Linked DNA regions of Drosophila melanogaster. The gene in region 1 interacts genetically with each later gene. Each region holds a gene or a part of one and is shown on either strand. Other genes may lie near its edges.

The links.
Region 2: of Atg9 (region 1) and Atg7, changing one suppresses a phenotype caused by changing the other (phenotypic suppression), as found in Drosophila melanogaster (one study listed by BioGRID).
Region 3: of Atg9 (region 1) and Patj, changing one suppresses a phenotype caused by changing the other (phenotypic suppression), as found in Drosophila melanogaster (one study listed by BioGRID).

The regions. Positions count from the first base shown.
Region 1 is NT_033778.4:16,290,687-16,300,807, reverse strand, and holds Atg9 (Autophagy-related 9), read right to left. Parts: upstream 6,409-10,121; 5' UTR 6,288-6,408; coding exon 3,750-6,287; coding exon of another isoform or gene 3,729-3,749; 3' UTR 3,576-3,728; downstream 1-3,575. Other genes in the region: CG7747 (uncharacterized protein), read left to right, coding at 6,774-6,805, 6,865-7,819, 7,874-8,025, 8,084-8,498; CG30100 (uncharacterized protein), read right to left, coding at 8,553-8,993; CG42372 (uncharacterized protein), read right to left, coding at 8,996-9,034, 9,090-9,257; JhI-26 (juvenile hormone-inducible protein 26), read right to left, coding at 9,598-9,880, 10,057-10,121.
Region 2 is NT_033778.4:18,617,487-18,629,297, reverse strand, and holds Atg7 (Autophagy-related 7), read left to right. Parts: upstream 1-4,253; 5' UTR 4,254-4,338; coding exon 4,339-4,535; intron 4,536-4,591; coding exon 4,592-5,113; intron 5,114-5,170; coding exon 5,171-5,383; intron 5,384-5,514; coding exon 5,515-5,659; intron 5,660-5,720; coding exon 5,721-6,068; intron 6,069-6,128; coding exon 6,129-6,293; intron 6,294-6,311; exon of another isoform or gene 6,312-6,367; coding exon of another isoform or gene 6,368-6,653; intron 6,654-6,709; coding exon of another isoform or gene 6,710-7,297; intron 7,298-7,414; coding exon of another isoform or gene 7,415-7,506; exon of another isoform or gene 7,507-7,757; intron 7,758-7,965; coding exon 7,966-8,259; intron 8,260-8,342; coding exon 8,343-8,459; intron 8,460-8,523; coding exon 8,524-8,577; 3' UTR 8,578-8,832; downstream 8,833-11,811. Other genes in the region: Cth (cystathionine gamma-lyase), read right to left, coding at 122-1,303; Sec6 (secretory 6), read right to left, coding at 1,674-2,918, 2,984-3,955; CG5335 (uncharacterized protein), read right to left, coding at 6,368-6,653, 6,710-7,297, 7,415-7,506; CG5493 (uncharacterized protein), read left to right, coding at 11,561-11,811.
Region 3 is NT_037436.4:1,794,194-1,804,534, reverse strand, and holds Patj (patj), read right to left. Parts: upstream 5,733-10,341; 5' UTR 5,612-5,732; exon of another isoform or gene 5,582-5,611; intron 5,554-5,581; exon of another isoform or gene 5,526-5,553; 5' UTR 5,387-5,525; coding exon 3,836-5,386; intron 3,776-3,835; coding exon 2,711-3,775; 3' UTR 2,351-2,710; downstream 1-2,350. Other genes in the region: CG42676 (uncharacterized protein), read right to left, coding at 968-1,102, 1,208-1,325; JTBR, read left to right, coding at 1,842-2,300; CG12020 (uncharacterized protein), read right to left, coding at 6,006-6,121, 6,186-7,170; Cdc37 (cell division cycle 37), read right to left, coding at 7,361-7,633, 7,698-8,357, 8,539-8,742, 8,803-8,835. UniProt on the Drosophila melanogaster protein: Involved in cell polarity establishment. Probably participates in the assembly, positioning and maintenance of adherens junctions via its interaction with the SAC complex.

The DNA.
Region 1 (10,121 bases):
ATGTTCGACGCTCCGTCTGTGGGGAGCGGCTGGCTCATAAATATGCCAATGACTTGGCCCCCATCCGCTGATCCCCCCTCCGATCTTCACCAAGTGACCTGCAGCTGGAGGGCTTATGCCAAATTAATGAGTCCAAAGAATGCAATCTCCGCCAGATCATCGTGCTGTGATTCAGTGAAGGAGTGGCACAGATTGCGGTAGTAAATTGGGCAAACCTATAAATGTAACTTATAGTCTTACTTACAAATAAGTATCCTTACCATAAGAACGCTATTTAAGTAAAGACCAGACTGCCTTAAAGAAACTCATCAATGAAATCCATAACATATAACATATAAACATAAAAACGAGAACCGTTTGAGATTACCTATCTATAACATAACTTTTTATATCTCGATCTATTAGATTTAAGATGCATCTTCACTGTTTTATAGCAGTTGATTGGAAATATTAGCGCTATTTTAACGAGACTTTATTCGCTTTGCACAAAATAAACCATTAAAAACAAACACTCAAATTAATGTGCTCTAATTTGCATAACTCGAGGATCCAGATGATGACCACTTGGTCGACTTGCCCTCTTCCTGCTGACCCACACGGCGTATGCTCAACGTTAATTAACGTAATGACGGCTGGGGGAAACAAACGCAGCACAATTTAAGCCAACAAACATTTACAAACAGGCAACAGCAATTGGATGTTTAATGGATAGCGAGCTGCGATCAATACCCTTGTCCCCCAGCACCAAATCCACCGACGGATCCCCAAATCGCATCTAGAAAAACAAGTAGCCGACAGAGAGTCGGGCAAAAGGTAAATCGAAGCCGAGATTAATAGCGATAAGGCTATTGATTAGCATTTTAGCCACCGCCATTAGGAGGAGGAGCTCTGCCCGCGGAGGCAGCACAAAATCTGTGGCCGCTGTAGATACTATCTACACCTGGACGAGAGGAGGCGGGATCGATATCGCTGGATCGTAAGGTGTTGCAGGCATGCGATGTGGAGATAATTCAAGCGGATGCTACATAGTCCAAAAACCCGACTCCCTGGCTGATCGCAAAATTAAGCGCATGCCGGCAATTTGCATAAAAGCAGTTTAATGTTTAAATGTTTTATTGAATCGGGGCTCGATTACAAGATCAGGGGGAGAAAGCAGCAATGGAGGCGACTCTAATTTGCAATGCAAATCCAGTGCTGATGCCGATGCTGCAACTAAACCATTTGAACCGATCCCAAGCCAATGAGATCCTCCAGTCGCGATGGCTATTTGTAAGGAGCCATCGCAAGCCGGTTTTTTAATTATGAAAAAAAAAAAACCGATAAGTTATCATGGGTAGAACGTGCGTGCACCAAAAGTGGGAAACGTTGCTCCAAAACGCTGATCAGTTGTCAATCAAAGGGGACGCTGATGCTTCACACTCGAATCTGTAGGAGATCGGCGGGTAGGGTTGGAGGACGGAGGACATGAAACCATCATCATTAGTCGCTGCCGGAGACATTGAGACACGTTTGATAGCAGCCGACGTGCAGCAGCAACAGTTGCAGGAAAAGCTCTAATTGCGGAATGGCAGCTGCGATCTGGAGTCTAAAGTCTGGAGTTCGGAGCTCACAGAGCGCGCTGTTCCAACTCCAGCTCCACATCGCAGTCGAAACCTTATCCAACTGTCAGTGGCAGTCAGCGGCGCAAAGTGACGCCTGATCTTGAACTGGTTCTGCTGGCCGAACGCTACGCGGTGGTCCACGGCCATCAGAATCCCAGACAGCCAGCCGCATATGCAAGTGGCTCCCGTCGCCGCACGATCATATCCAATCCATATCCATATCCATTCGCATTACCATTCCCTCTTGGCCATTCCAATTCTGATATTTCGTTACCAATTTTTCTGGCCCTGCTGTGACCAAATTGCGTATCGAGTGATCAACAGATATTCAGAGATTCGGGGTCCGCCGGGGTCTACCACATGCAGTGTCATTACTCGATTGGCGCAGGAAATCATAAATTAAATTCGATTGTTTGACAAGGCTCGCGAAATGTTTCCATTTGAGCCATAAGCGTCGCCCCACTCCAATGCGTTTATCTACACCGAGGAAAATCTATTAGCATTAGTTGAAAATTGCATAGTATAATTAAATTTATTGAACATTTGTGTAATGTAGCCAAATAACAAAGGCATATAACGTTATAAGGATGACAATTGATTGATAAAAACATCATATAGTGTATGATATGGGTGTAAGTATAAGTTTACCACCATCATACATAGGAATCTATCTATCTATCTATTTATCCATCTATCTATCTATCTATCTATCTTTCTCTCTCTCTATCTATCTATCTATATATCTATCTATATATCTATCTATCTATCTATCTATCTATCTATCTATCTATCTATCTATCTATCTATCTATCTATCTATCTATCTATCTATCTATCTATCTATCTATCTATATATCTATCTATCTATCTATCTATCTATCTATCTATCTATCTATCTATATATCTATCTATCTCTCTATCTATCTATCTATCTATCTATCTATCTATCTATCTATCTATCTATCTATCTCTCTATCTATCTATCTATATATATTAACGAATCTATTATCTTATCAATTGTCGAACTTATGGTTAAACTATTTCAATATTCTTTTAAAATGATAATACATTTTTTCTCTCTGCCGGATCGGATATCGCGGGCTCTACAATTAGTACTACATGCAACTGCAACTGCATCTCCAACGTCCATCGCACTGCGAGAGTCGGAGGATGCATCCAAAACGGGCAAGTGGCCGTCTAGCAGCTCGTACATTCGTGTAATGTTGGCCAATGCTCCCCCCCAAAATTGGCGTGCAGCGGAAAAATGAGACAACGTGATCCAAAGGCTCTCCAGCGATCTAGCCGCAGATTCCAGCTAGAGCTACAGCTACAGCTCCAGCTCCATGCAGCACGCACATAATTCATAAATGTTGCCACAGCTGGCGGGGATCGGCGGTATCTGCATCTGTATCGGTGTCTGCCGGCTTGGGAGATTCATAGGCACGCACTTGGTCGGTCCACTCTGTGCGCCCCGATCTCCTCCAGTCTTTGGTCTCTGCTCGCCGCATTGGCCATCAACACCAATCGCCAAATGGCGTTCGTGTGTGGCAAGTGACACACGAGGCGCTGCAGCACAGCTGGATGCGTTCTCCTCAGCCACTCGCATCTGGATCTCTGGACCAGGTGGATGTGGTGTGCCAACAATGCCTACAAATGGGGACCATCCATCAGTGCTGATGGAGCTGGCATTCCCACATCCCGGAGAGCTAAGATCGGGATAAGCCGTAAAGACATTAAATATAATCTTCACAATGAAAATGGATTTTTTTTATGGTGTCTCCTTTCAGTTGTTGTACACAGGATACACAACGGATAATGCTTAGGATTTACAAGCCATTATAATCAAACCAGGTAAATAGTTTATACATATATATATATGTAAATATGGGTAATGGGTAATCACAACTACTACACACTAATAGATTTAGTTATTATCTAGCGAAATTTCCTTTGAAATAATAAAGCTGATCAATTTGATAATGCATTTATGTTTATTGCTTCTCGTTTAGTTTAGCTTAGTTTCAGATTAGTTTAGCTACGCACTAGACGACGTCGTTCGTTCGTTTACACTTTAAAATTTAGGTTAATCACTAATAGCAGAATGGGTGGTCCTTAGCTCTACAGGTGGTTAGATCCACTCTGGCCGCTGCTATGAGCGGATGCTACCCAAAAGCGGCGTGCTCTCGGCAGCCTTTGAGGTAATCACGGTATGGCGGGAGCCGAAGCCAGTATCAGCCGACGGAGCAGCTGGTGGTCGCGGTGGCCAATGGCTCGTACCAGGACGCTCGTCCTCGGCCTCGTCGATGCGAGACTGGCGCGCTTGGCGCTTCTGCTGGTTCAGCTCGTGCAAATAGAGGGCACTGAGGCACATGTCGGCCACGCCCACATTCAAGGGAGTGCTGCCCACGCGCGGGTCCACACCACAGAGTCCGTAGAGCAGTGTATCCGTCGGACCCTCCAAGCGGCCTTCAGCCCGGCTGAGGCGCAATCGGCGCATGCTGTCCAGCGGGCCGACACTGGCGGACAGATTCTGCTGCAACATCTGGCGGAAGTCGCTGGCTGCGACGGGGAATCCTCCAGATACCGGTCCTAGACCCGGACGCAACGACTGCGAAATCTCCAGTTGCTGGGGCGTCACCTGTGCGGTCAGCACAGAGTTCGCAATGGAACAATAATCCGCTCCCATGGTGCCAAATGAGATGAGGCTGTTGGTCAGCGGGTTCTCCTGCACCATCGACGTCTTGGCCTGGACTAGTTCACCAACGGCGTGCTCTCTAACGCCGCGCAGGAACTGCTTGGCCTCCTTGGGCATCTGCCACTCGGGATTGTTCAGGGTGAAGCGAAGAAGCGACATCTCCGTTTTGCCGCCGGCCAAACTTTGCTGCTGTGGCTCCTGCTGCGGCTGTTGAGCTGTAGCCCGGGTCATCTCCTCCAGTTCGCTGGTTAACTGCCAGTCGGGATTGCCATGCTTGCGAACATCCATCTGGGCAAAGGAGCATACGTTGCCCACTCCTCGCACGGATACGGTGAACGTCCTGAAGAAACGCACCAGCTCTATGGCCTTTGGCCTGAACACAAAGATCAGCACGAAGGGTGTGACGAAGGGACTGAAGATTTCGCTGAGTAGGTAGCCAGCCTTAAACTGAAAGAAGTTGCTAAACTCCTGGCGAACCTTTGTCGTGTGCGCCTGCTGCCGCCACTCGGAGGGCAGGTAGTGAACGTGCGCCAGAATGGCGGTCATTAGCTGCTCTGGGCACCAAACGAGATTCTCATCCGGTATTAGAGTTCTGCAGACCACACCTATGGCGCCGAGCCCTGCAAGGATGGCAAGCAAATGCTCCACCTGGAAGACGTGTTCCTCGTAAATGCCCAATGCAAGGATTAGAAGTAGTAGTCCTCCACTGATAAAGAGTAGGTTTTTGGCTATCACAGCGGCCAGTGGCGAGGAAAAGGAGTTGAGATAGCGGTCCGCGTAGTCATATGCCCGATTCAGCCTGGCATCTAGTTCGTGGTCCAGTTCATTAAAGTGGCGCAGGTAGAGGCGGCCGTAATTGGACCATGTACGCAGGCCAAGGGCACCAGGCTCCTTACGAAGAATGTTCGCATAGGAGAAACTGAAGTAGATAAGTTGCCATACGAAGATCACAGGCGCTAGGACCAAATTTAACAACGCCACCCCCAATATCAGTTTGGAGAGTCGCTGCGCCAGCTCCGTTTGATTGCTTCTTACCGCAAACTCATCACGCAGCTGCCAATTGTTCTGGAAGGGAGATCCAGGGCCGCGAAACAAGATGAAGTCAATGTTGAACAACATACCTCTACTCAGCGAGACCACTTCGCCATACAGCGGTATGTGGAACCTTACAGGCAGCAGTTGCTTGTTCATCAGTGCCACTAGGTAGTTCTTGAAGCGCAGAACTCGGTGATAGATGTCCAATTCCGTAAGCGACTCCTTGTCGATGCACATATGCTGTTCGGCCTGGACGCGACGAATCCGCTGTTGCACCTCGTGCCACGTAAAGTTGTCCAGATCCGAATCCTCGATATGAAGCGCAGAGTTGTAGAATCTCTTTATATCGGCGTACTGGGTAATATGGTACACCATTTTCAGAAGCCTTATGCCCAAATAGATAGCGGCTATGAACACAACCAGGTACGTGACCCAAGTGAAGTTGGCTAAGCACTCGCCTGTGGGGTACATCACATCGGATAAAGTTGTCTTGTTGGGGTTAAGTCCCCCTGGAGGGGTGTCCCCAAAGAGCACGTCAAATCGGACGCAGTGCATCACAAAGGCAAGTAGCCAGACGACGAAACCAAACTCCAGAACCTGTAGCATTTCGTCCACTACAATCACTGTGAATCCGTGCTTCTGCTGGTACTGATACATTCGCGAGAAGAACGAGTCAAGGTCCTCGATGTGGTTCCACCGCGCACGCCCCGTCTCCGGAACCATGTGGATCATGACGCCACTGTTTCGAGGCGTGTCCTCGCCCTCATGCTCGGTGTCGTGCTCATCCAGCGGCTGCTCCAGCCCGTGTTCACCGAGGGGGTCTAAATGCGCAGCAGCTGCGTTCGCTTTTGCGTCTTGTGTTTTGGATGGGCCTTGGCCTGTGGAGGGATGGTGCTCCAGGAACGGACTGGCCGCCTCCTCGGCCAGGGAGCGGTAGTTGATATGTGGGCTAGACATCGCCCAACGTCAAGGTCAACCGTTCTGACTATTTATATCGCTGTATAGTATAAGTTGGAAAATTCTTTGTTGTTTGATTCTGCTGAACCTTCTCAGCAAACAGCTGACTCTCCTAAGAGAAGTGTTGGCCAACGTCAAAATACTGGGTAATGAATAAGTAAGGCGAACCTCTTGCAGCGCCCAATGTGCAGTGTTCACACTGCCAGGGCATCTCTAAATAACACACATTGGAGAATCAAAGGTATCTTATAAAATTAATACTTATAAATAATTAAATTTGCATTTTTCTTGTTATTTGTTTTTATATTCGTTTTTAACTTTTTGAAATACTCGATACTTTTGTTTATGGTACCCGAAGTGTGAACAGCCTAGATATCCATCAACATAAATCTGCACAGAGTTGGCAGTTCTCTCCCGCATTTGTAAACAAACTATTTGTAGCTCTTACTTTATTGCAAATTTAATTTAAAAAAACAAACAGCCAAGATGGGTAAAAGGCAGCATCAAAAGGACAAAATGTAAGTATTTAGCACATCCAGCGAGTTATGGAAATGAAGACTACCCATTGCTTTAACAGGTACCTCACGTACACGGAGTGGAGTGAGCTGTATGGCGGCAAAAAAGTGGAATCCTTGGAGAACGACCATGTCAAGTTCAAGCGGCTGCCATTCGAGCACTGCTGCATTACGATGGCGCCCTACGAGATGCCCTACTGCGATCTACAGGGCAATGTGTTCGAGTACGAGGCCATTCTTAAGTTTCTCAAGACCTTTAAGGTGAACCCCATCACCGGGCAGAAGATGGACTCCAAGTCATTGGTGAAGCTGAACTTCCACAGGAATGCAAACGATGAGTACCACTGCCCCGCCTTGTTCAAGCCCTTCAGCAAGAACTCGCACATCGTGGCGGTGGCCACAACTGGAAATGTATACTGCTGGGAGGCAATCGACCAGCTGAACATTAAGACAAAGAACTGGAAGGATCTGGTGGATGACACGCCATTCCAGCGTAAGGATATCATCACAATACAAGATCCTCAGAAGCTGGAAAAGTACGACATCTCGACCTTCTATCATATTAAGAAGAATCTACGAGTCCTGACGGAAGAAGAGCAGCAAGAGAGAAAGAATCCAGCCAGCGGCCGCATTAAGACCATGAATCTGGAGACCAAGGAGACGCTGGAACAGCTGCAGCAGGACTATCAGCCAGCGGAAGAGGAGGCCTCCACTTCGAAGCGTACAGCTGACAAGTTCAACGCAGCTCACTATTCAACTGGAGCGGTGGCGGCCAGTTTTACGTCTACCGCCATGGTGCCCGTTTCCCAAATAGAGGCGGCTATCATAGATGATGATTTGGTCAAGTACGAGCGGGTAAAAAAGAAGGGCTACGTTCGTTTAAATACGAACCTTGGCCCTCTCAACCTGGAGCTCTTCTGCGATCAAACTCCTCGAGCCTGCGATAACTTCATCAAGCATTGCGCCAATGGTTACTACAATAATGTTATGTTTCACCGGTCCATAAGGAATTTTATTGTAAGTACGATCTCTTTTGAGAGAAACTTTAATTTACTATGGTTTTATCCACAGGTGCAAGGTGGTGATCCCACTGGAAGTGGTTCTGGTGGCGAGTCCATTTGGGGCAAGAAGTTTGAGGACGAGTTTAAGCCGAATCTTACGCACACGGGCCGAGGAGTGCTATCAATGGCCAATTCGGGACCCAACACCAATGGCTCTCAGTTGTAAGTACCACAAAGTGACATTTTTTCAATGCTTTTGCAAGTATACGCTGTTTCGTAGCTTTATCACCTATCGCTCTTGCAAACATCTCGACGGCAAACACACCATCTTTGGAAAGCTTGTCGGAGGATTAGACACTCTTCAAAAGATGGAAAATATCGAGGTGGATAACAAGGACAGACCAATTGAGGACATCATCATTGAGTCCTCACAGGTCTTTGTGAATCCATTTGCCGAGGCAGCCGAACAGTTGGCCAAGGAGCGCGAGGAGGAGGCGGCCGGCAAGGAGGAGATTGTCAAGAAGGAGGAGCAGCAAAAGCGCATGAAGGAGCCACTGAAGGTGTACAGAGAGGGCGTAGGCAAGTACCTGAAACTTCAGACAGTGGCCAAAAAGCCAGAGGCGCCACTTACATCCGCTCAAGCAGCCAAGAAGAAGAAACTGGCGAATGGTTTTGGAGATTTCTCCAGTTGGTAACCCATTGTTTTCCAAAAATAAATATTTAAAAGACCGTTTTAGAAGTAAAAGTTATCACTCTTTATCGGTAGATTTGGTTCCCCCATCTGTGCGCTCTCTATCCTGCCAGCTTTTCTTCATTTCTTGCAGCTTTTCCTGTCGCCGCCGCCGCTCAGTGGACTTTCTCTGCTCTTGTGCCTTGACTTGCGCGGCAATTGAATGCTCTCCGTTTAGATGCACGTCCAGTTTTTCCAGTAGAAGTTTACGAGCCTCCACTCGATTCTTTGATGCTAGACGATGTGTGTGACACTTGACCGTTATATTGGTGGGTAGATGGCGCAAGAACACGCAGTTGGATGTCTTGTTGACAGCCTGGCCACCAGGACCACTGCCGCGCATGAAGGTCTCCTCGATATCCGACTCCTGAAGCACGGGAAAGCGGGAGTAGTCCAGATTGGACTTGCAGCGCACAGCGGTCGGAGGCAGCGCCAGGAATCGCACCAGACCTCGCAGCATTCCTACAGAATGCGTCCCTTCTTTAGCAGGGTCTCTCCGCGCTGAAATATAAGTTCATTTTGTAAATCAGTTATGAAATACGAAAGTGGCACTTACCTTAAAGCTGAATTCCACTTCCACGGGATTCGTAAGGGAACGGTTGTCCCGAAACTCGTGGCGAACTCTTCCCAGAAAGTAGTTCTTGTCGGTCAGCTTTAGGTGATTGCCGTAACGAATTAAATGCTTGTATAAACGCAAAATTTGCTGCCGCGAAGGTTGAACCATTTTCATATTTCACTCTCACATGTGTGACAGTGCTGGTTAACGCAGAACTACAACAGGTTGGCAGTTCAGCAAAAACACAATCAGCTGCGGCGTTGTGCGATCAAAACAAAAGCAACAGTTATAAAAATAAACATTTGAAAAAAACGCAATGATAAGATTATAAATCTTAAGTAGCCCACAATTTACGATTCCCCCACCACTGTTAAAAATTCCTAGTCACGGTTAAACAGTGTATTAAACTCTAAATAGGTAATGCATGTCACTTTAACATCTATTTTATTATCTACAGTTACGCTATACCTGAAATGCCTGAATACTTTTACATTAGGCTATCAATTGATTACTCCTTGGGCAACTTGTCAAGATCAATGCCGTCATCAATGGACACCCCTGTCGCCTGGCTCAGCTCCAGCATTTCCTTAACCTGGTGAGCAACCTCCCTGTCCACAACTTCTCCACCTCGATTCATGGTCCGTTCGATGATTTCCTCGTCAGACAGTTGCAAGGCGAACATCTCCTCGGGCGAGATGTCCAAGGGATCCACCAAACTCATGAGGAAACTGGCCGATATGGATAAGCTGTACGGCAGGAAACGCACGTACTCCTTCAGAAGCTCACCGCGACTAAGAAATAGCGTAATTAGTATTATATTATTTCTTGGCAGTAAAAAGCTTTACAGGATTATCTTATCTTATCACATCGAGCACCTAATGAGTATTTTTAGATTTTTGATTTGCATTCATATCGCTTGTTTGAAATTTTAAAAGCTTATGAATAATGAATAATAATAACAACTCACCTTAGGAAATCCGGAACCTCCTCCTTGGCGTGCTCCCTATAGCTATTATGAAGCGCCAAGGTGTA
Region 2 (11,811 bases), 2.3 Mb from region 1:
TATAAATATCTTTCATTTGAGACAAAACACTTTTATTGGGGTGATTAATATACAAATTCATAAGCTTTCGGTTAAACAAATTCCTGCGAAAAATAAAAAAAATACATGTGATGCGAGTAACTTAGGCCTTCGATGCAATTTCAAGGGCCTGCTCCAGATCCTTGATCAAATCATCGGCATCCTCCAGTCCGACGGACAAGCGAACTAGACCGTCAGTGATGCCCAAAGTTTTCCTATCCTCCGCTGGAACCGAGGCATGGGTCATTATTGATGGAAGCTCGGCCAGACTCTCGTAGCCACCCAGACTCTCTGCCAGGGTGAACACCTTGAGGGCCTTGAGGAAAGCCGAGGAGTGCTTCAGCTCGCCCTTAATGTAGAAGGAGAACACGCCGCTGTATCCGTATGCCTGCTTCAGAGCGATCTTGTGCTGCGGATGGGAGGGCAAAGAGGGATGCAACACCTTCTCCACGAACGGATTCGTCTCCAGGTATTTGGCAACCTTCAGAGCATTCTTCTGGTGCTGTTCCATGCGCAGCGAGAGCGTCTTAAGACTTCTGTTCACCTGATAGCAGTCGAATGGAGACGGCACAATGCCCACTGCGTTCTGCAGGAACTTCAAGCTTTTGTAGAGCTTCTCCGAGTTCATGGTGATGCCACCCATGACCACATCCGTATGACCGTTCATGTACTTGGTCAGGGAGTAGCAGACCAGATCAGCGCCCAGCTCCAAGGGTCGCTGGAAGTAGGAGGTCAGGAAGGTGTTGTCGACGGCCAGGACGATATCCTCGCGTACTCCATGGACCAGCTGCGCAATAGCCTCGATGTCGGCTACCTTTACCAATGGATTAGTTGGTGACTCGATCCACACCAACTTGGTCTCCGGCTTGATGGAACTTTTAATTAGATCCAACTTCGTGGGATCCACAAAGGTGGCTGAGATTCCCAGACGGGTGGCAACCTGTCGGATCAAACGGTTGGTGCCTCCGTAAACATCGTCGCCCATGATGATGTGATCGCCGCTGCTCAGCATAGTTAGCACAGCGGTGGTGGCTCCCAATCCCGATGAGAACGTGAGGCCGTATTTGGCATTATCCAAGGCGGCGAAGCACGTCTCCAGCACGTTCCTAGTGGGATTTCCACTGCGGGAGTACTCATAGCCCCTGTGCTCGCCCGGTGCATCTTGCTTGAAGGTGGTGCTCAGCGATATCGGCGGAATCACGGCAGCACTCTTCCACTGGTCGGGGCTCTGGCCCGAGTGGATGGACTTGGTGGCGAAGCCGCTCGGCTGGACTCTGTAGCTCATCTTGTCTGGGTAGGAGGATCGTTGGGAACTGACTGACACGTGGAGAGAGACCGTCGCGAATATATATACTCCTGCCAGATGTTATCGCCTAGCCGGTAATTAAATATTTCGACCGTTACAACACTACATTCGCCGACAGTGATGGAGCTCTAGCTATTAAACGGCTAGAAAACGGAACCCTTCAAAAGTAACGATACATATATGCATTGAAACGATGGATATTCTTACTTTCCTTAGAACTTCTTCGATTATTTATACAATAATTTATTTGTTGATAAAGCACAATAATATTACAATCGCAGCTTAAGAGTAAATACGATACTGAACAGAAAGGGACATGCGGAATGGGTTGGGAACTATACTCCAAGGTCTACCACAGTTTGTCGCTGAACACGATCTCCTTGAAGATGCAATCCTGCTTGGCGATGCTGACCATTGCCTTCTTCGACTTCATGGCATCCTGCACCTTCTCGCGCACCTCGGCCGCCTTCACATCGTTGCGAATGTAAAAGAGCCGTACCAGGTGGTCCTCGTTCAGAGACGGATAGCTGCCCAGCAAGGTGTGCAGGTCCAAGACGAGCAGTTCGATATCCGAGCTAAGCAGTGCCGATAGCGTGGATATAAGATCCAATGGAGAGTCGCTGAGGGAAATCTTCGGCGCGATTTTCTCAAAGAAGAGCTTAAACCGCTTGGCTTCGGTCTTGATTTTTCGCGTAATGGCATCGCACTCGGCCCGTGGCTTAGACAGTCGCTTGGATAGCAGTGCCCTAATGTAGCGCTTGGCCAGCAGCTTCTGGGCCTCGTTGATGACCATCTCGAAGTTATTGGGTCGCAGGTGATTATAGTCCTGGAAGTAATCGTCCAGCGTTACACAAATGGTGTCCACGGCAATGTTACTGGCCAGCCACTTGGCAGTGAATAGGTCGTTAAAGTGACACTCCATGTCCAGGAAGGCTTCCTCCAGCAAGTAACTTGCGGCATGAGCCCGGATCCGCTGGAATGTGGCAAGCAAACGTTCGAAATCCTCATAATGCTCAGTACGTGACTTGGGCCAGTAGAGTTGTTTCATCTGCTGCGCCAGTTCAACCATTTGCTGACTGTTATTCACGATGGTGATGATGTAGTGAGTGAAGTATTTGATCTGGTCCCGATTGCGAAAATGGTGTTCCTTCAGCTCGATTACGTTCTTAAGATATGTCTGGCCAAAGATCTCCACCTGCTGAATGCTCATTACCAACGCCTTGAACGTCAGTTCCTGATGAATTGTGTTGGTCACCTGCAGATGCTGGTCGATCATCTGGAATATGATGACAGGCGCTGAAGTGTGGTAGTACTCCTCATCCTGATCGGGCACCGTCTCAGTAAACCACTCCTGCTTCTCCGTTTCTGCGGCCTTGGTCATCCATTCCTGGAAGTTTCTCTGCATATTTTGCAGATATTCATCTTCCAGCGCTTTGAGATGTTCCGGACGCAGCAGAGTACCTATCTGTCGGTGTACATCCACATTAAGATCCGGATGGGACATCAGCTCGACGCCAGGATAGGTGTGTGTAACCCAAGCCATCATTGATACATATTCATTGCCCTCCAAGCCCGAGCGCACAATGTTGTCAAGCTGGAATTAGTAAATATTAGTGGTATAAAAACATTAATCAATTTAAATGATTGACGATTACTCACATAGCTAGAAAGTCCTTCGTGATAGAACTTGACATATTCGCCGAAAATGTCGTAGTGCGGCGGGAAGCAGGGCACACAAAGGGACTTCACAACGCGCAGATCCTCGAGAATGATTTGACGCAATATCTCCAGGTCTCGTACTAACCACATCTTGTTATCGGCCCGCTCCTCTAGCTTGGATCCCTCTATGCGCGTTATCACCGACTGTTGTAGCACGTCCATGATCATGCGGCGCCAAGCCTTTGGTCTTCCAGGCGGCAGGAATCCTGTGACCTTTTGCTGCTGCAACGCGAACTGGTCGTTTTTCTCTTCCCGCTCTATGATGCGTAGGGCGGTAACGATGATGGTGGGCTTCTTGCGCAGAGTGTTCAGCGTGCGGCTAAGAATGAGTCGCAGCTTTTTCTCCAGCTCTTGGGATACCGTGTCAACCTTCTCGAAGTGACGCTTTAGGGTGATCTTGTCGGACGCATGCTGCTTGGGCTGCTTGTGCAGTTCGTAGAGAAGATCATCCCGCGAATTCTCCAGATCCGCCAGGCACTGATGGGCATTAAGCAGCTTATCATCCTCGATCAGCGCCATCGTCTTTTGTACGCTGGCATCTACGTTGAAGATGTGCTTCAGATTCTCCATGGCGGTGGCGTACTGGGAGTGCTTTGTGTTTTCCTCCCGCACAACTTCCAAAGCGTCGTAGACTTCGGGAACGCCCCTCAGCAGGCGCTCCACCTCGTCCATTCGACGCCTTACCTCGCGCACGTCCTGCATGCAGGTCTCCAACTGCTTAAGTCCCACCCTGACCCCGTCCAGCTGTCCTTGCATTCCGGTCTTAAGGAGCGCCTCAACGGATGCCTTCTTCCGGGCGATTCGGTGGCGATATTGTTCCACCTTCTCCAGTTGACCTGGTCGCTGCAACATGTTCTGTATGTCCTTGAGCGCTGCCTGGCGAGCCTGCTCCTCCAGCTGCTGTAAATCCATCTTCAATTTATTTGGATCACTTTCAGTCTCTGTTTTGGTCAATCTTCGTCAGCAGTGGAAGTGCTGGTGTGACCATATAGCAGTGCGGCTGACAATCTCACTTCCAAGAACTACAGTGTAACTTGACAATAAGCTATATTCTACTCTTAAAATTATTATAGTTTTATTGTGTCTTAAAATTTTTATTTTATTCTTCAAGCTTAAAAAATTATGAAGTTAAAGTATATCTTTTAGTTTGCCAAAGCAACAGAGGATTCGACCTAAGTATGGAAAACTGTACTTATCGATAAGTTATCTTCTCATTGGTCTATCGCCATCGAGAGCTTTGTTTGTTTATAATTTGCAGCCAAACGTTTGAACGTAAACAACGCCCTAAGCAAAACATGAGCACGGAAAAAGAGATAATTTTGCAATTTGCTCCGTGGGAATCTTTTGTGTCGCCCACTTTCTGGCACAAGCTAGCGGAGCTTAAGCTCGACCACGATCGCCTGTCCGACTCGAAACGCTCCATTACTGGACACTACACAAATCGTAATGCAAGTGGATGCCTTTTGGAAGTAGACTACACGGCCTACAACAGGTGAGCTTGAAAACTACGAGTTTGATGAAACCAGCGCTTGACCACCCACATTCCAGAATGGCAAAGCCTCCAAAATTCAGCCATTCCGCTATAGGCACCATCTACAATAAGAACACAATCGAAGAGTTCAAGGCCCTGGACAAATTACAACTGCTGGCCGATGAGGGCAAGGAACTGCTGGCTGATATGTGCAGTGGTGGCGCCTTGAGAGATCCCAGTCTATTGACCCGGTTCTTTGTTCTCTCCTTTGCCGATTTAAAGTGTCACAGCTACTACTATTGGTTCGCCTTTCCGTGCCCGCTGACGCCCACCTTAAAGCTTCAGGGAGCCGTCCAAAAACTGCGGGACTTGCCCAATAGTAGTAGCTATATAATGGCTCTAAAGGCCTTACCCACTGAGTCACAGAACTTCTTCATTCTGTATGCTAATGTGGAGAAGAACATTTTCGAAGCCCGTAGTTTAAGTTCCCTTGACGATAAAAATGTTGAGTTCTGTTATTTTGGTTTTGCTGATCCCAGCGAGTATGAGCATCCAGCTTGGATAATGCGAAACTATGCTGCCTTTCTGCTTCAGCAATGGTAGGTAGGAATAGCAATGTTATGATATCAGTTCACACAGTTGTCGGTCTATTACAGTCCCTCTTTTGTTGGAAAACCATTGAAGTTTCTTGGCCTGCGACACAATCAACAAATGAACATCGATGACAGCCTTGTATGGAAGGTGATTCAGACTGAAGCTTGCGATCTTAGCCAAAGCGAAAATATAAAGTTCGTGGGCTGGGAGCTAAATAAAAATGGCAAAATGGGGCCAAGAATGGTGTGCATGAGGGACAGCATGGATCCAGCCAAGTAAGTTAATAGCTATAGACTTAAATGATAAGAACTATCAGTTCATTGAGGTGTGTCCTTAGTGTTAGCTACCACGACAGTTGAAAGTAACTTGTTTATTATTTATAATTTAACAATATTTCTTTCCGTAGACTCGCTGAGAACTCTGTAAACCTGAACCTGAAACTAATGAAGTGGCGCCTTGTTCCCGATCTCAATCTCGAAATCATCTCCCAAACAAAATGCCTGCTCTTTGGAGCTGGTACTTTAGGATGCGCTGTAGCTAGAAATCTGCTGGTGTGCTTTTATACGAAATGATTTAACTGATCTGATAACTAATAGTTTATTTATTTTGTAGTCCTGGGGATTTAAGCACATAACCCTTTTGGACAGCGGCAAGGTTGGGTTCTCTAATCCAGTGCGTCAGAATCTCTACACGCATGCAGATGCTGTGGCAGGCAATCGGATGAAGGCGACTACAGCTGCTCAGAGATTGAAAGAGATCAATCCGTCTGCGGAAACGGCGGGTTATGTGCTGGAGATTCCCATGCCTGGGCATACTATTGGAGAATCGCTTCTAGCCCAGACGAAGGAGCATTTGAAGGTTATCGAAAAGCTTGTGCAGGACCATGATGTCATCTTTCTGCTCACAGATTCGCGCGAAAGCCGCTGGCTGCCCACCCTGCTTGGAGCGGCAAAGGAAAAAGTGGGAACAATCATATACTCACCTTTCAGAAGAGATGTACCTAAAATGTTTCCCTTATAGATTGTCATCAACGCAGCTTTAGGCTTTGACAGTTATCTGGTAATGCGACATGGCACTACGCGTAAGGAAGCAGGCGACGATGGCCAAGAAATCGAAGGACTTAAGTGCATTAATGGCGATCAATTAGGTTGCTACTTTTGTAACGATGTTACGGCCCCTGGAAATGTAAGTCCCATTTGTTGTATAGTTTAAGATAACATTTGTATTTTCAGACTTCATTAGTTGGGTTAACATGGTTACTAAACGCATTCGTAATCATGGCGGGAATATTTTTCGAAGCCAGCGCACGTAGGATCCCCCGTCTGCAGGTGATCCACACCAGTTATCTGCACTACCAGGCCATTTATGCTGGTCACCTTGAAACCCACTAGATTCATCATGGCATTAGGTGTGCGCCAGGTGTAGCTGAAGAAGTTATAACCGTCCACTGCAGTCAAAACCTCGCGTTCCGTAAACGCAAGCGCCAGCTTGAATTGCTGGTTAAAGACGAAGGGGAAACCTCCATGACGCTCCTCGCTTCCGAATCTATAAAAAGAATTAGTTAACGCCCAAAGAGGTACGGCATTATAAAGTTAACTTACTCAAAATTTTTGTTCATGGAATTGCGCACTACTGCCTTCTCATCGAAACGCACACTGAAGTGTAGCTCTTCGCGCTTGGTATCCGAGTCCATGAACTTGATTATGAACTGTCCCTTTTTATTCTCGAAACACCGAGCTGTAAGGACAATCACATGGCCCGGACTAAACAAAATTGGCTGATCGTTACTGAACGCCTTAAAGTAGTCCGAGGCGTGAACGGCTGGCCACGGATTTGGAAACACAGTACGATGATCCACCTGTTTAATGACTTGGATCTGATCACGGATCTCCAGAGCACGAATCGTTCCCAACGGCATGCGGTAGCGGAATCTGCAGAACTCTCGGCTATTTATCGAGATGGCAAAGCTGTCCTCGCAACAAAGAATGTAGACCAAAAAGAACTCGCCACTGACGATGGGATTGGGCAGGGTGTTGGGGTCCATGACATGGGACTCCTCCTCGCCCCAGGCGCCGTTTATCCGGGAATTTCGAACGATCACATCGTTCCGAAAATAGCATGAGAAGCGTAGCCCAATATCTGCGTTCGGATCGACCGTGCTCTTGGCCGTGCAGAGGTTAATGTGGAACCTATCCGAACCAAATGATCACAATCGATTAGTCACGTACTGATAAGAAGCCCAATTTGACAAGTAATTAGTCAGAAAACGGAAAAGCGGTCTTACATTAATGCCGGACAACACTTACCTGGCTGCTCCATCGATGGTCTTGGCCACGACCTCCAGAACATGACCAAACTCCAGCGGATGCGATAGATTGCCAGCGAATTCGGTCAACATGATTCCTTCCTGCAATTACCAATTCAACTAACTATCGCCTTTGTACTGAACAATCAAGCGCAAAATGTGTTTTATAGTTCCGTGGGAGAGTCCGGAGTTCTCCGGCTCTCCCAAATGTTAAAACTTTATCTAATCAGTGATGGGCGGAGCGGCGGGTTGCTCAAGTAACCGATACAAACGCCGAAGTTTTCTATATCTTGTGTTTTTGGTTTTTAAGCGCTGCTATTTGTTTTGTTCTCGCCCGAAGGCGTCATCTTTGTTTGCTCGGAGCATGTGTTTGTGGACACAGAAAAGCTTTCAAAAGCTCTTGATCGTACTACTGCACCGGCGTCGAATGTGCTCCAAATCACACTGAAAAAAACTCTGTATAAAAAAATCTCTTATAGACTCGCTTTATAAAGTTGTACGTACAAATTTGGATACAGATACTCATTGCATTTCGTTCTATTCCATTTTCAGTCGCTCAAAGACCGAACTTTGGATCAACAGTGCACAGTGACACGACCCGGAGTATCCAACATTGCGGCCAGCTATGCGGTGGAATTGTTGGTGGCTTTGCTGCAGCATCCTCGTAAGGAGCTGGCACCCGCCTACTATGCACAGAGTGGGCGTGGCAGGTCGGAGGAGACGGAAGAAAAGGTGCCGGAGGGTCTGCTAGGAATTTTGCCTCACTCCATCCGTGGAATGCTGTGCAACTACGAGAATATTCTGCCCGCCACTCAAAAGTTTGCTCAGTGCATAGCCTGTTCAGCGGTAAGATTTGACAATCTTTTAAAATGGTTTTGATAGCGTTTTCAATATTGTTAAAATTTTTTTTTTAATATATTCGCTTACAGGCCGTCCTAAATGAATATAAAAAAGAGGGTCATGCTTTCCTGTTTAAAACTTTTGAAACAGCCAAGTTTCTGGAGGATTTGACGGGAATCTCCGAATTCAAGCGGTTAAACAGCGAGGTTTGTTTGTTTCCTGTGTTTAATCTAATGGAGATATTTAAAAATTATTCATATTTTTGCACAGATTATCGATTTTGATGATGAAGAATTTGACATGTCCGATAGCGACGAGGATTAGGTTCCACAAAATTGGTCAAGTTTTATCTTCAAAGCAAAATATCTTAAATATGAAATTCAGCTTATTGTGGCTTTAATTTTCTGCAGCATTTATAGTTCAATGTCTATACCAAAAATGTGTGTACTTCAATGCTTTTATTCTATCTAGTCGTTAAGCAAATTGTGAATCATTCAAATGAAATTGATGTGAAAATTAGGCATAAGAAAAATGTGAATTTACTATTGAAAATTGTAATAATAAAAGTGTGAATTTACTATTGAAAATTGTTATAATAAAAGTGCTTAAGTACGGGAACAAATGTATTTCCGCCAATTTACAAGTCGCAGCCTTTAAGCTTTGTTTGTTTGTACGAAACGTGTTTCTGCTGATAAGAGCACTCATTTATAGGCGAAAATATTATTCTGATCTGAGAATTCCCATTTTTGTGGTTGACAAATACCAAAATATTGTTTTCAATTCCCGATCGGTCATTGAATATGTTATTAGCTGCATTATTCAAGGCGAAAACACGCAAACAAAGATGAATGTTCGTATAAAATTGTTTTGGGAATATGCAAATGATTTACATAGTGGGCCAGGTATGCGAAAAGAATAGTTCAAAGTTGAATAAACCTGGTTAGAAAGCCACGAACTAATCGCATATGTAAATTTGCTTATTATGTCTCGGTCAAAGTAGATGACATCCTAGAAATACGCTCACAAATGTTATACTTTAAAGAGATATGTAAAGTTAAAACTATATTTTTAGTCCAGGAATATAAAATGTTTAAATTTTCATTAAATGGTTGTATGAAAATTTACCACTTTAATTTATCAAAGTGGTTTTAGGCCAAGTGTTTTGAGCTGAACAAATATTGGCAACAAGTACTTGACACACAATTCGTGTGCGTTTCCAAGCGATTTGATGATAAAGCCTTTCATCATTTTGACCCCAGGCCAAAATGGAGCTAGAGAATTCCATCCACTGGCTATGACAAAAGGCTCCCGGCCATTTCTCTTGGCCAGAAAAACAAACAAGAAAGAAGATCGACCGAGAAAGAAGAAAAAAAAAACGGCACGACTCCATAATTAATAGTTGGATTGGGGGAGAAATGTATTGAAATATATCTGGCCGCTCAACCTCGGATCGACATGGCGGTGGTGGTAGTGGTGGTAGCATAAATTTCGGGCCTGGCCAACTGAGCAAACAACAACAAGCCAATTTGGAGCGAGTGAAGCCGCTTTGAGTTTGGCTCGCGGCCCCAAAAAGCGCTCAAAATGTGCTCAAAATGCCATTCGAGCTGCGATGCCTCTGCCAGCGTCGCCTTTTGTCACTCGAATTGCGTTTTGAGTGGTTAACCGGGGTTTGCTGGCCAAGATCTTCATAAATTGGTGAAAGATACCCAAAACGGGCACATAAGCTCGGCGACGCGCATCCAAGTGGCAACTACCCAGTGAAAAGTCGAAAAAGTGCAATACCAAGTCCTGAAATTAAAAGTGTTTTTAAAAAGTGAATTTCAAGTTCATAAAAAATTATTCAGTTGCCATAGCTAAGAGAGAAATTCCAAGAAGTCAAACAAAATGGTAAGTCCTTTATCCTTCAAATCCCTTTCCCTGCTGAAATTGTACGAAAATCAGAAAATCAAACTTAAATCGTAGTTTGTTGAACTGTTTCGAAAATTGGCAACTGCTTTTCACCAATTTTCCAAGCTATTTGTTCGCATAATATTTACGCAAATGGCAGTTCGCAGCTTTTAGTTTTTGCTTTGACTTTGCTATTGGCCTTAACCTGTTGCGAAAGTTGGCTGCCAGCTTGGCAGTTTATGCTTTTTGGCCATTGCAAAACATTTTTCAAATACCTTGATGTGGCACCAAGGGGAAAAGATTTAACAACATTGCATGGGGATCGTAAAAAAGTTATTACCTTTAATGCAAGCTCAAGTGTTTTATTTATTTCGAGTTTTCACCTGAAGTTATATAATTAAATTTATGAGTTCAATTCATATCGTGTTAGGAGAAACAATGACAGAATCATTTTCTTTGTTTAACATTTTAATGGAGAAAGTAAGGTCAGTGTGTTAGTCACTAATTAACTTCCTGAGTAACAAAGACACGACTGATCTGCTGACAAATGGCAGGCAATTGAGAGAAATCTGTAACGAACCTGAAAGTAGGCAATACTTTCTCGAAACAAAAAGTATCTCAAAGTGTTTCGGTTAACTATAATCCAAAACTAGAGAAAGTCGCGGTTCTTTTTTTCAAATGAATTTGCGGGAAAATCCCGGCTGGTAAGACCCGCAGATCTTGAAAGCAAATTCGTCAGCATCCAGATTCAACCAGCTATCAGTTATCAATTGGTATATTAACGTATCAGTGACAATGCCCGTATCGCCCAAATATTTTTTATTGTCGGCTCCAGAGTATATTGTGGAATAAATTTGTTTTTTATTTGCCAAACGATCCCATTAGATCGCCGTTAACCTCTTGTCTCAAATTCAGGCACATCTGTTGAGCCCCTCCTGGCAACATTCGATCTATCATCATCTACTGAGAAATACGTGTATTATATAGCCGAGGGTATTGGTAAAATCTGCTATTGATAAGTTGGATGGACGGTTATCGCCGGCGACTTCTTGTTTTTGTTATTGTTTTGGACTTGCGCCTCCGATTTACGTCGGATCCGAGCTGATTATGCAGCCTGGACAGGAGAGCGAAATCTCCAGAATTCAGTTCGAATTTTGCGATCCGAGGTGGAGCGTGTGCGGTTAGTCGAAGCAATTCAATCAATTGTAACAGCAACGAATCGGAATATTCATATATATATATACCAATAGCTATTATCAGCGATCATCGACTTTACAACGTAATTCATCTAAATCAATTGAGCAGTGATCTTTATAGACTTTATAGGTAGTTTTCCACGCCCTTCAGCCTCAACTGATGCACCACCACTCTAACTTCCGCTTCCCTTTTCGCAACCTAGGTCAATCAGAGCAAGCCCAAAATGGCCCTGTCCAAGATCGACACCGAGATCGAGCAGGTTGACCAGGAGAAGTACCTGCGTCAGGCCACTAGCTACTATCAGCCGCTGGAGAAACCCCTGAAATACGGACCGGAGGTGAATTCCCTATCGGACTTGGTGGCCGCCCTTCACCGGGAATTCGAGTCGAACTATGTTAACATCGAGATGGTGAATCACCTTATGCTCAGCTACAAGTCCAATCCGCGGGAGTGGCGCAAATATGCCAAGTTCGA
Region 3 (10,341 bases), on another chromosome or scaffold:
GCCCACAATGGTTCAGTGAGGCCATCGTGCCGGCGGTGGTTTGATAGCATGCATGGATTGTCCTCGAAAAACTTAACGTACAGCTCCTTTTGGTCCTTGGACATGCGTTCGCCGCGTTCTTTAAGAGAATTATTAAGGATTTAGTTCGGATTTCAGACTTTTGCAAGCACTTCTCTCACTTCTAAAGCGACTCATCAGACCCGGTGTGTAAGGCGACTGTTGGGAGGTATTTGGTGCATTCATCGACGGCAAAGGATGCGTGTAGCTGGGGAAGATCTGCTGACCGGGCAGCAACTGCTGCTGGTGCTGTTGCTGCTGGGCTTGGTGCTGTTCCTGGCGCGCTAGGAATCTGGAGGCCCGCTGCAGACGTTCCACCTCCGATTCGGACTCCGACTTGGGTATAATATCCATGGGGTCAATGGCCTGGGTCATCGATTCCGGCGTCCGTTCCGAGTAAGCCTGCCCCAGGCGCAGTTTGTGGGAACTATCCGTGCGTTCCGGCACCGAGTTGTTGCCCTGCTGGTCCAGTGGCGAGTCCACCGCCTCAGAACTCATACGTAGGGCCGGAGAGGTGGGCTGGGAGTCAGGCACATATTCATGGGCGTGGTGCGAGGCGCTTTCGTTTGACCGCTGCGGCAGAGGCACGTGGTGCTGGTGCTGATGAGGGTGGTGCTTCAGGACCGCCATCGAGCATGAGGGCTCGTAGGAGAGCATCTCCTTGGCGTGGCCATCGTCCAGAGCTGCAAGAGGGAGCATTTTACAATTTGGGTTTTATTACAGATGGCAATCGCAGAGACTTACAAGCGAAGCGCACGCATCGTCTACATAAACACAACTGATCTACAAACAAGACTTGACTGTGAAACTCCGGAACTCCGCGAAATCGCGACTTTTGGTGGCCCGCAGTCACTCGAACGCTTAAACGCTAATTGAAACGCGACTTAGCCGTAACTTAAACGCTATTTACCTTGACTGATCTCTATAACGAAGTTGGTGAGGTCGTGCCTCTGGGCCAGATAGTGCAGCAGCAGTTCGTCCGGGATGTTGAAGCCGATCTTCTTGTTCCGGAACTCGAAGTTGTAGATCCCGAAGGCGGCGCGCACTGTGGAGCGGGATTTGTTAGACATATTTCATTTTTGGCGACCAAATCGCTTGGGGGCTCCGTGATTTGAGCCACCTCCCCCTCTCCGACCAGACCAGTGCTTACCCACGTTCTTTAGGTCCCATATGTTTAGGTCGCGGTTCTCCTGCGGCACCCCGATCATCAGCAGCTTCTTCGTGTCGCGAAACTGAAACGGAATTATGATTCCCGATCGCAGCACCATTTTCAAAGCGCCCACACACGCGATTTATAAAAATTTTCACAAATTTCTCAAGTCCGCTTTGTGCTTGTCCTCCGTAATTGTTTTGGTCTCCGTTTATTGTCGTTCGTAAACAGCGAACTAGTTTCGAGCTCCCCGAAGTCTGGCCACACATCTGCAGTTCCGCGAATCGGAGCGGAATACGCGGCTTATAAGATTTCCTCGAAAAATATTATTTTCTCCCTTAATTTAACGCTTTATCTAAATTACGAAATCTATGCATGTGCAAATTCAATTTTTTTTTAATATATAATCTTAAATGCCAAGCAAGAACTAGTTCCAAAGACGGCTGAACAAAAATAAAAACTCTCGCCTGGTCACACAGTAAAGCTGATTTCATAGGGGGAAAAGCAAAGCAATAGGATTTCGAGTAATCCCGTCCATATGTATTGGAGTTATCCACCTACTGAGCATGCATAGGTTCTTCCAGGTTGTTTCCAGCACTTGATCCGATACAAGAGTTAGCTGCCCGCCTTCACAATGCTCGAGAACTGTCAGCGTCACCACATGCTCCTTGGACTAGGAGCCCTAACGATGGTCACCATACTCGTCCTGTTCGTGGAATCTCGTTACGCGGCAGATGGTCCTCGTCGCCGAGAGCCGCAATTCGTGATCGAGGACAACTCGACCTGCTGGCGGAATGAGAAGTACACGATGGTGCAGGAGTGCCACCCGTGCTCCGAATTCGATATAGTCAGCCGGAGCTTGGGCGTCTGCATTCACACGCACTACAAGGAGGTGCTGCGCTGCCAGAGCGGCGAGATCGTAACCAGGAGCTGCGACCGGGTGGCGCTCATCGAGCAAATGAACTTCTTGAAATTTGAGGTCTCGTGCTTTGTAATCGGATTACTTAGCTACCTGGTCAGTTATGCCCGCGATCGAGTCCTGTCCAGGCGCAACTACATGAGAATCGAGCGACAGCTAAACCGGGTCCAATAGCCCTCCGCCAAATCATCGATTCCCTTCCCCAAGTGATACTCATTGACCGTACGGAAGGTACATTATTTAATTTAGTTTAAGTACATACACTCTGGAAATACCATGTTAAAATTCATTTGCTAATACTAGGGGGTTTAATATATTGCATACTTGTGGAATGCTTGTTTTCAGGGGACAAACACAATTCGGCGTTAATAATATGCATAACATTTTGCTTCGGTAATAACAATCGCTCCTGTACTTCTGGCATCGTTTCTGACATCGTTTCAGATTCTACTGCCTGTTGTTCATATTCGTAGAAAATATCGATTAACTAATCCATTAGTTAGCAACCGCGTTTGATTTGATTTAAAACAGGCTTAAAGATTCAAATGCCTGGAATGTGTGAAATTCTTCGTTATCGTAACACCCTAGTTCCGCCAGTCGGGAATCAGGTCGGGCTCAGCTCCCATGGAGGCACTAGGCGGCATGGCGGGCGGAGCAACTGTGGGCAAGGCTGGAGGCGATGGCTGGGCGTCCAAGGTCTCTTCGCTGGTGGTGCTCGCATTGCTGCAAGCCTTCAGTGAGTTGTCCGTCATGGGCAGTGGTTTGGCCACACCAATGCGCACCACTCCTTTCGAAGCACCCTTCAAAGCCTGCACTGCCTGATCCAGCGAGGCGTTCTCCAGGTTAATGGAGTTCACAAACAAAAGTCGATCTCCGGGTATAAGGCGTCCGTCCAATTGAGCCACCCCTCCAGGGACCAGAGAACGGATTACAATCAGCGTATCGTTGGGATCCAACGGATCTTGATAATCCAGAATAGAGAAGCCCAGACCGCGATCGCCCTTGACCAGCTCGATAATTTGCGGTTGGGACGACCACATAGCCAATCCGGTTAGTGGCTCCAGGGAGCGCGACTTCAGCTTACTAAACGAAGCAGCGGCGGCAGCCACTGAATCTCCATCGGCCACGGAGCCCGCGGTGGCCAGACTACCATCTGATTTGGCCTTCACCAGACGATCGGTAGCAGGCAGCAGGTTCTCAAAGTTGTTGCTTAGCTTTTTCAGGGTGTCATCAGAGAATGGGAGAAGCGAGCTGTTCCTGTTGCGACCGCAAACCATGCGCACATCCAACGGCAGTTCCTTAAGTATAGCCACCACCTCCAGGTGGTTCATACCCAGCAACCGCTCGCCGTTTACCTCCAGCAATTCATCGCCAGAGCGGAGTACTCCATTCACGCCAACGGGTCCATCAGGTAAGATTGAACGAATATAGTGATGGGGTCGTACCTCGCGCCCTCCTTCTACGTCCACGGTTCCCTCCAAGGAAATCCCCAAGCCTCCGACCGCGAACTTCTTGATCTGGGCCACAATCACCTCCACATCGGAGCCCACAATCTTCTGCCATTTGCGAATAATTTCGGTTTCGGCGTCGTCGGACAGTTCCGGATCGGTGTAGTACTTGTGACGGGTGATCACCCCGCTGTTCTTGGCCTAAAACATGTTAATGCGCTATACGTTTTGCTGCTGTGTTACCCGTTAGCTAATACTCACCTCCGTTTTATCCGCCAAGGGTACAACTTCCGTGGGTATGATCTTCGTGGAGCCGTCTAGGGAGTCCCTTACTGCTACTAGTTGCTTACCCGCTCCAAAGGAGCTTAATGTGGTGGTGGTCATTGTGGTGACCGACGGCGGAGTGGTCATGAATGCTTCTGGCGCTGGTAAGGCTTCCTCTTCCAACTCGCGAGTGATGCTGCGTGATGGTGTAGTTGTGGCGGAGGACGTTGTGGCCACGGGCGTGGGCATGGGAGCCCTTGAAGGCGTTCCAGGTGCACTGGATGGAAGCTTGTCATTCGCAGCGATAGCCTGCTGCAGCTGCTCGAATTTGGGGCCCCTCAGGTAGCGTTCCAAGCGCAGGTTCACCACCTGACCAGACTTCTTAAGCAGCTCTACGGCCTGGTGGTTGGAGTAGCCTTGTAGCGACTGGCCGTCAACTTCAATGATGCGATCGTTGACCCGGATGCGACCACTCAGGTCCGCTGCTGAACCGGGCGACACGCTCTTTACGAAAATGCCAGACAGCTCTTCTTTCTCACACACATAGCCGGCAATTGTGATGCCCAGGCCGTTGGCATCCTTCTTCAGCTCCACCTGAAGCTTCTCCGTTTCAGGAAGGGCAAGCAATTCCTCTAGGTCGATGTTTGGATCAATAAGCATTGATGTCTCGCCGCGATAAACGAAACGATCGTCTTCCGTGGTGGTCTGCGGAGTGGAGGCCGTGGAGCTCTCGCCAAAGATTTCCGGATAGCCGGTAGATATGAGGTACCGCTCCAGCTCGGCAGGATCGACGAGGACGCGCGTGGGCACCACAGCAGTGCCCGGTTCCAGGGCGTACTGGGGCGTAGGCACGCTCTGCTCAACGGGACGGGCAACCACTAGGCGGACGTGGGTTCCAGACTGTCTCAGCACGGCAGCCACCTGTTCGGATACCATTTCGTGCAGGTTGACGTCTCCAATCTGGAGGATGTGGTCGCCCGAGCGCAAGCGTCCGTCCTTATCGGCCACGCCACCCGGCAGGATGGTTTTTACAATCACTCCCGAGTTGCGAGCTCCAATAATACCGAATCCGAGACCCGTGCCGTCGTTGACCAGCTCTATGGCCTGGATCTGAGCGTAGTCCGTGGCGTAGAGATCCGCCACTCCGGCTCCTTTGGAGTTCTGGCTCTGCGGGCGCGGCTCCTCGCCGACGCCTCCGGACTTATCTGGACTGCCCGGAGCCGAATGGGAGTGCGAGGAAGAGCGCTGTTCGTCAAAGTCGTACATCACCTCGCCACCATTCAGACTGAGTACAAGGTTGCCGGCCACATCGATGTCGAAGTCGTTGGGCAACATGGACGGATGCTGAGCCAGCTGGGCGTTCAGCTCGGACAACGAGTCCTGCACGTGGACGATGGTGCGGAAAACGGGATCCTGCAGAATGCCCAGAATGGTGCTAAGGCTCTCGGCCGTCTGCATTTGCAGCTTGGGGTCGTCGGACTCATCGATGCCCTTCTTCACTGCCTCGATCTGCTGAAGGGCGCTGGAAATATCCGCGCTGAGGTGCATCTTGCGTCAGTGGGCGTGGTCAGCGAGCGGTGCGCGGTGCGGTCAGTGGAGCGTGGTCCCCGTCTCTATCCCACTTCCGCTGGCGTTTCTATGGACTTCTGGGTGGGGGCGTTGTGGCGTTGGCACACTTTGTCCTAAACTGCAAAACGGGTAATTCGATTTGGGCTCTAAGTGGGACAGCTTCGGATCAGTTACTGTGCCGTTTGGATGCAGCGAGTTGTTTACCCTCTCCTATGCACTCTTTTCGGTGGCCACTTGCTCTGCTGCTGCTGCTGTAATTGATTTTTAATTATCTCTGAAATGGAATGCCAAATGCATTTTCTTTTCACAAACAGCTGATGGACAGGGTTGCCGAGCGGCTGCGTTGTGCATCGATAAGCAATCGACATAATCGGAACAGTTGCCACCTTTTCAAAATCAATTCAAATTCGACCGTTACATCTGCTAATTTAATTAAATCTAAGATTTTTGAATATAGTCTGCATGTGCTCGTATGTAATATGGCTATACGAAATAACCCAACAACATCTATCCTTTTAAACGCAAATTTTGAATTTAATTTCTCTGTACGCACAAATATCTGTGTTCCAAATACGGAAAAACAATAAGGTGTCTGCCATCAAACCATGTTACGTTCCTCCTCCTCCTCCAATTCTATTTCGAGCTTGCGGAATTCGCGGAAGAATTCGCGAGTGATATGCTTCATATGTGGAGTCAAGTACTTGGGAAAGATATCTGCAGAAGAAACAGAGAAACTATCAGAAACTATTGAAACCTCCAACAGAAAAGGAAAACCCACAATCAAATTCTATAATGAGATCCCCGAACTGCTCCACCTTCTTGTTGGCCTCCTTGATGGCCGTAACTGCATCCAAATTGCGGCACTTGGGGAGTCCCTCGAGGGGAACCACTTTGGTGTATCCCGGCTGCACTACGTCCGTAATGACCACCTTCAACTGGCGCCGGTCCAGCGTGCAAATGAAGAACGTGAAGCCGGTGAAGGCCTGGCACAGGCCAATAGACTGCCTGTAGACCAGGTCGTGTTGGTTTCTCCTCTCAAAGTCCGGATGCGGCTTGTCGGCGGCAATGAAAATAATATCACCCGGAATGGTGGCCGGATAGCGATCGCCCTCCTCCTTGAAGCAGAAGCGAGTTCCGGCCGTAGTTCCCGGGGCAATGTTCAGCTTTAAGGTGTGCTTGCGCTTCTCCAGCCGCGACTCCTTGGCGTCCACGATCTCCTGGCGCCACACGTTCATCAGCTTGACGCAGCCAGTGCGTACTTCCTCCAGCGACAGCTCGATGATCCTCTCCGTACTGGCGTCCTTGGAACGCACGCCAATGCCATGCTGGCGCGTAGCGTACAAGCTCGGTGGATTGGAGATCGCATCGATCACGTTGGCATACGGCGAGTAGCTACCGAAGACCCGCTCGTAGACCTTCATGTGGTCGCCGTCGTACTGATAGGGCGGAAAGTATCCGTTCGGCAGCATGACGCCCTCGAACAAACCCGCCTCGCCAAAGCGATCGTATATGGCCCGGTACAGATCGTTGCCCAGCACATCGAAGGCCATGTTGACGTAGGCCCACTGCCTGGGCTCGCCCATGGGTGAGAGGTGCGTGAGACGACCCTCCTGGGCCAGCGGCACAAAGTCCTGCTCGTCCTTCTTGTCGCGATGTGGGCAAAGCCGAATGGCCAGGCGGCGGTAGGCCAGAGTAATCTGCTCCTTGGTGGCGCCTCTGGGCTGATCCAGCACCGCGTAGTAGTCCAGCTCCGGCCGGTTCATTGTTTCTATTCGGAGTCGAAGCGTATAACAACTGGCAGAAGTGTTCACAGAATGTTTGACGTGTGACTGAGAATTTATTCAAATTATATACAATAACTCAACTGACGCAGGATCTGGCTATGGATGAAATATGCTTGTGGACAAATACATTAAGATTAGAGCTATGGTGTAGATGGAAACGTGGCGGCGATCAGTCAACGTCCTCGGTGCTGACGCCAGTGTAGATGGGCTCCTCCTTGGCTGCACTCTCTGATTTGGCATCGTCGGTCTTCTCCTCGCCACCGGCGACGTCATCCGAGTCATCTTCCTCCTTCTTGTCACCCTCCAAGTCAGCGGCATTGGGCACCCAGAGACCAGAGTCCACACAACGCTTCATGTGCAGCTTGGCGACGTCCACGGGCATGGCCGCAATGGTCTTCTGCAGCAGCTCTACGTCGCGGGACTCGAAACAGGCCTTTAGTTCCTGCGGAGCAAATACATGAAAAGTTAGTCAAGTAATTCCCATACAGTGAATCACTAGAACGTACATCGGGCAGGGATTCAAAGACATCGGCTGGGTCCAGACCACCAGGTCCGAGGCGCTCCTTGCGCTCCTCCTCTTCGGCCTGGGCTATCGCCTCCTGGATCTTCTCCTGCGCACGCTTCTGGATACGTCCTTTGAAACCTTCGATCTCGCTGTCGAACTGCGCGCGGTACTCGGGATGACAGTGCTGGATCTTTGAGAAGAAGGAGCTGACACAGGCGCGAGGATCCACGTCCAGCTGTTTGGCCAACTCTAGAATGTACTGCATGCAAATGCACTGATGCGCCACGTGGGCCATCAGCTCGTGCTTCTCCTCCATTTCCAGGTTGATGGACCAAATGACTAGGTAGTTGGCCGTCTCCTCGCCCACCAAGTGAAGATGCTCCTGCAGAAACCGCTTCGAATCGTCGTACTTGCGCAGCATGCCATACTGCTGGCAGAGCTTCTCGTTCTCCTTGACGAATTGCTTCATGCGCTGCTCTCGCTCTTCCTCGGACAGATTCTCATCCGGCTTGCGGCCGGCCTTCTTGTTGATTACGGTCTTCTCAAAGCCGGGCTTGCTGATGGTGTCCACGTTCCAGGGTGTTTTCTTTTCCTTCTTAATCATCTCGCTCTCGATGCGGTCCAGCTCTTTGCCCTCGGCCTCGATCTTTTCGAGCTCTTTCTGTAGGCGATACAAATTAGGGATTAAGCATTGCGATGAAAGATGGATGGCCACTTAGGATGATAGTCAATCATAAGCTTGACAATAAGAATAAATTAGATGGATTGAGAACATAGGGAACTCCCAGACCAGGCATTAGCCTAAGCAACAAGTGCGCAGTGCATTCGGTGCAATGACCCACCTTCAGGGCCTCCTCGTCGCCATCCTTCTTTGAGATCCGCTCCTTGACGTCCATGAGGCGCGCCTGGTAGCTCTGGCGCTTTTTCTTAAGCTCGTCCTTCTCGTGGTCCATCTCCGCCATGCGCTCCACGCGCGCCTGGTGCCGCCAGCGGAACAGAGAAGGCGTGTCTATGTTTGGGTGAGTGTCGTCCTCATCATCCGAAATCTAAAAGGTAGTGTGCCGATTAGGAGGACTTTTTGGGTTGGCACCCAGCAGTGGGCTCACCTCGATGTTCTTCCACTTGCTGTAGTCCACCATTTTGCTGTTTCTTTGCTTCGGATTTATATTTGAATGTAAATGCTGCAGGTTTTTGTTCTTTTTCGGCTGCTTCCTTTTTTTGGATTGCTCTGGAAATTAGTGTGACCGCAGGGCTATTGCGGAATAATACCATAATAAGCCCCGCTTACTCTGGGGCCGCGCTAGGAAATAGTAGTCATGCATGAGTGCACCAGATTGAATTGAAATACCCTGTCGTTTTTAATTTATTTACATCATCTACTACTACTCATCTACATCTACTAGAAAAATAATGAGATGACTAAGGCGCCAAAGCGACCAGAAAGAGAACTATGTTTATAATCGATTGACATCGATAGAAATCGCGATATTGATGTCAATGTTCTGCGCCAATCGGCCGACATATTGAAAAAAACTGCGGTCCCGTGAAATAGAGGCGCTCCGTGAAAATTACGAATAACTACTGCAAATCAATAGTTAAATTAACAAAGTAACTGTGAACAAATAGATTGCCATCAAAGTGTAAGTTTCTACATAGTTTTCGTCCGTAGCTCACTGTTAGTTGGGTTCAAAATGCAATTGAAATTCGGTGTGCGTGCAAAGTGAAAATTTTTCGGGTCAACGCCACACCCTCGAAGGCAACACAAAAATCCAATTAACGGGGCTAAAGTGAGAGAAAAGTCTTGGCCATAACTGAAAAGCTATGCTGTGCAATGTCACTGCTTGATTAGTAATAGAAATTTTGAATTTCTTTCAAAATTCTTGACTCCAATTGCAACTTAAGAAAAAGTATCTGGTGCTCCTGTTGTGCATGTGTGTGTGCGGTTACGCAGGAGTAGAGAACGCTGTGTGTGTGTACGTCATCGGGTGGTGGTGGTGGTGCGGCAACTTCAGATGAGAGAAAGCGGGAGAGCACACTCTCCCTCTCTTTGCTTGTTTGTGTTTCCAAGATATTTAAGTACGAATAAAAAAAAAGCAAAGTGCTTGCCTTACATATGCCAAAGTTTTGGGTGGGCAAGTGTCCTTGACTTTCTTGAAGGCCTGTGTTTGCATAGGATATTTTTGTTTGCTTGCCAGGCGATTCCGTGTTCGTAGTAGTCTTGCGTACCAGTTGATTTTTTGTGCCTCTTCATTGATTGCTCATAATTCCAAAGCGTACGCATTACGTCATCCTCTGCTATTTTCTGATAGACACTTCAATTAATGTTTCGCTCTCTCCGTCTCTTTCTATTCGCTCTCTTTTTGAGGTGCGATCTCTCGCAATTGCCGTTTCTGATGTTGTTTTTGTTTGCCACCGCGATAAACAGTTAAATTGGCCTGCCTGTGTGTTTGTATGTGAGCTCCAACATTGTATGGCTGCCAAGCCCTGGGCTGTTGCCATCTCCCTCTGATTTATTTCAATTTCCTGTGGCAAAGAGTGTTGTTTGTTTGTTTCTCTGCATGCTGACCCACCCTCTCCCCTAAATGATGTCATTGCTTGCTCTGCTGACCCCTTCTAAAGGGGCGATTTTGAAGTATTAAGTATTA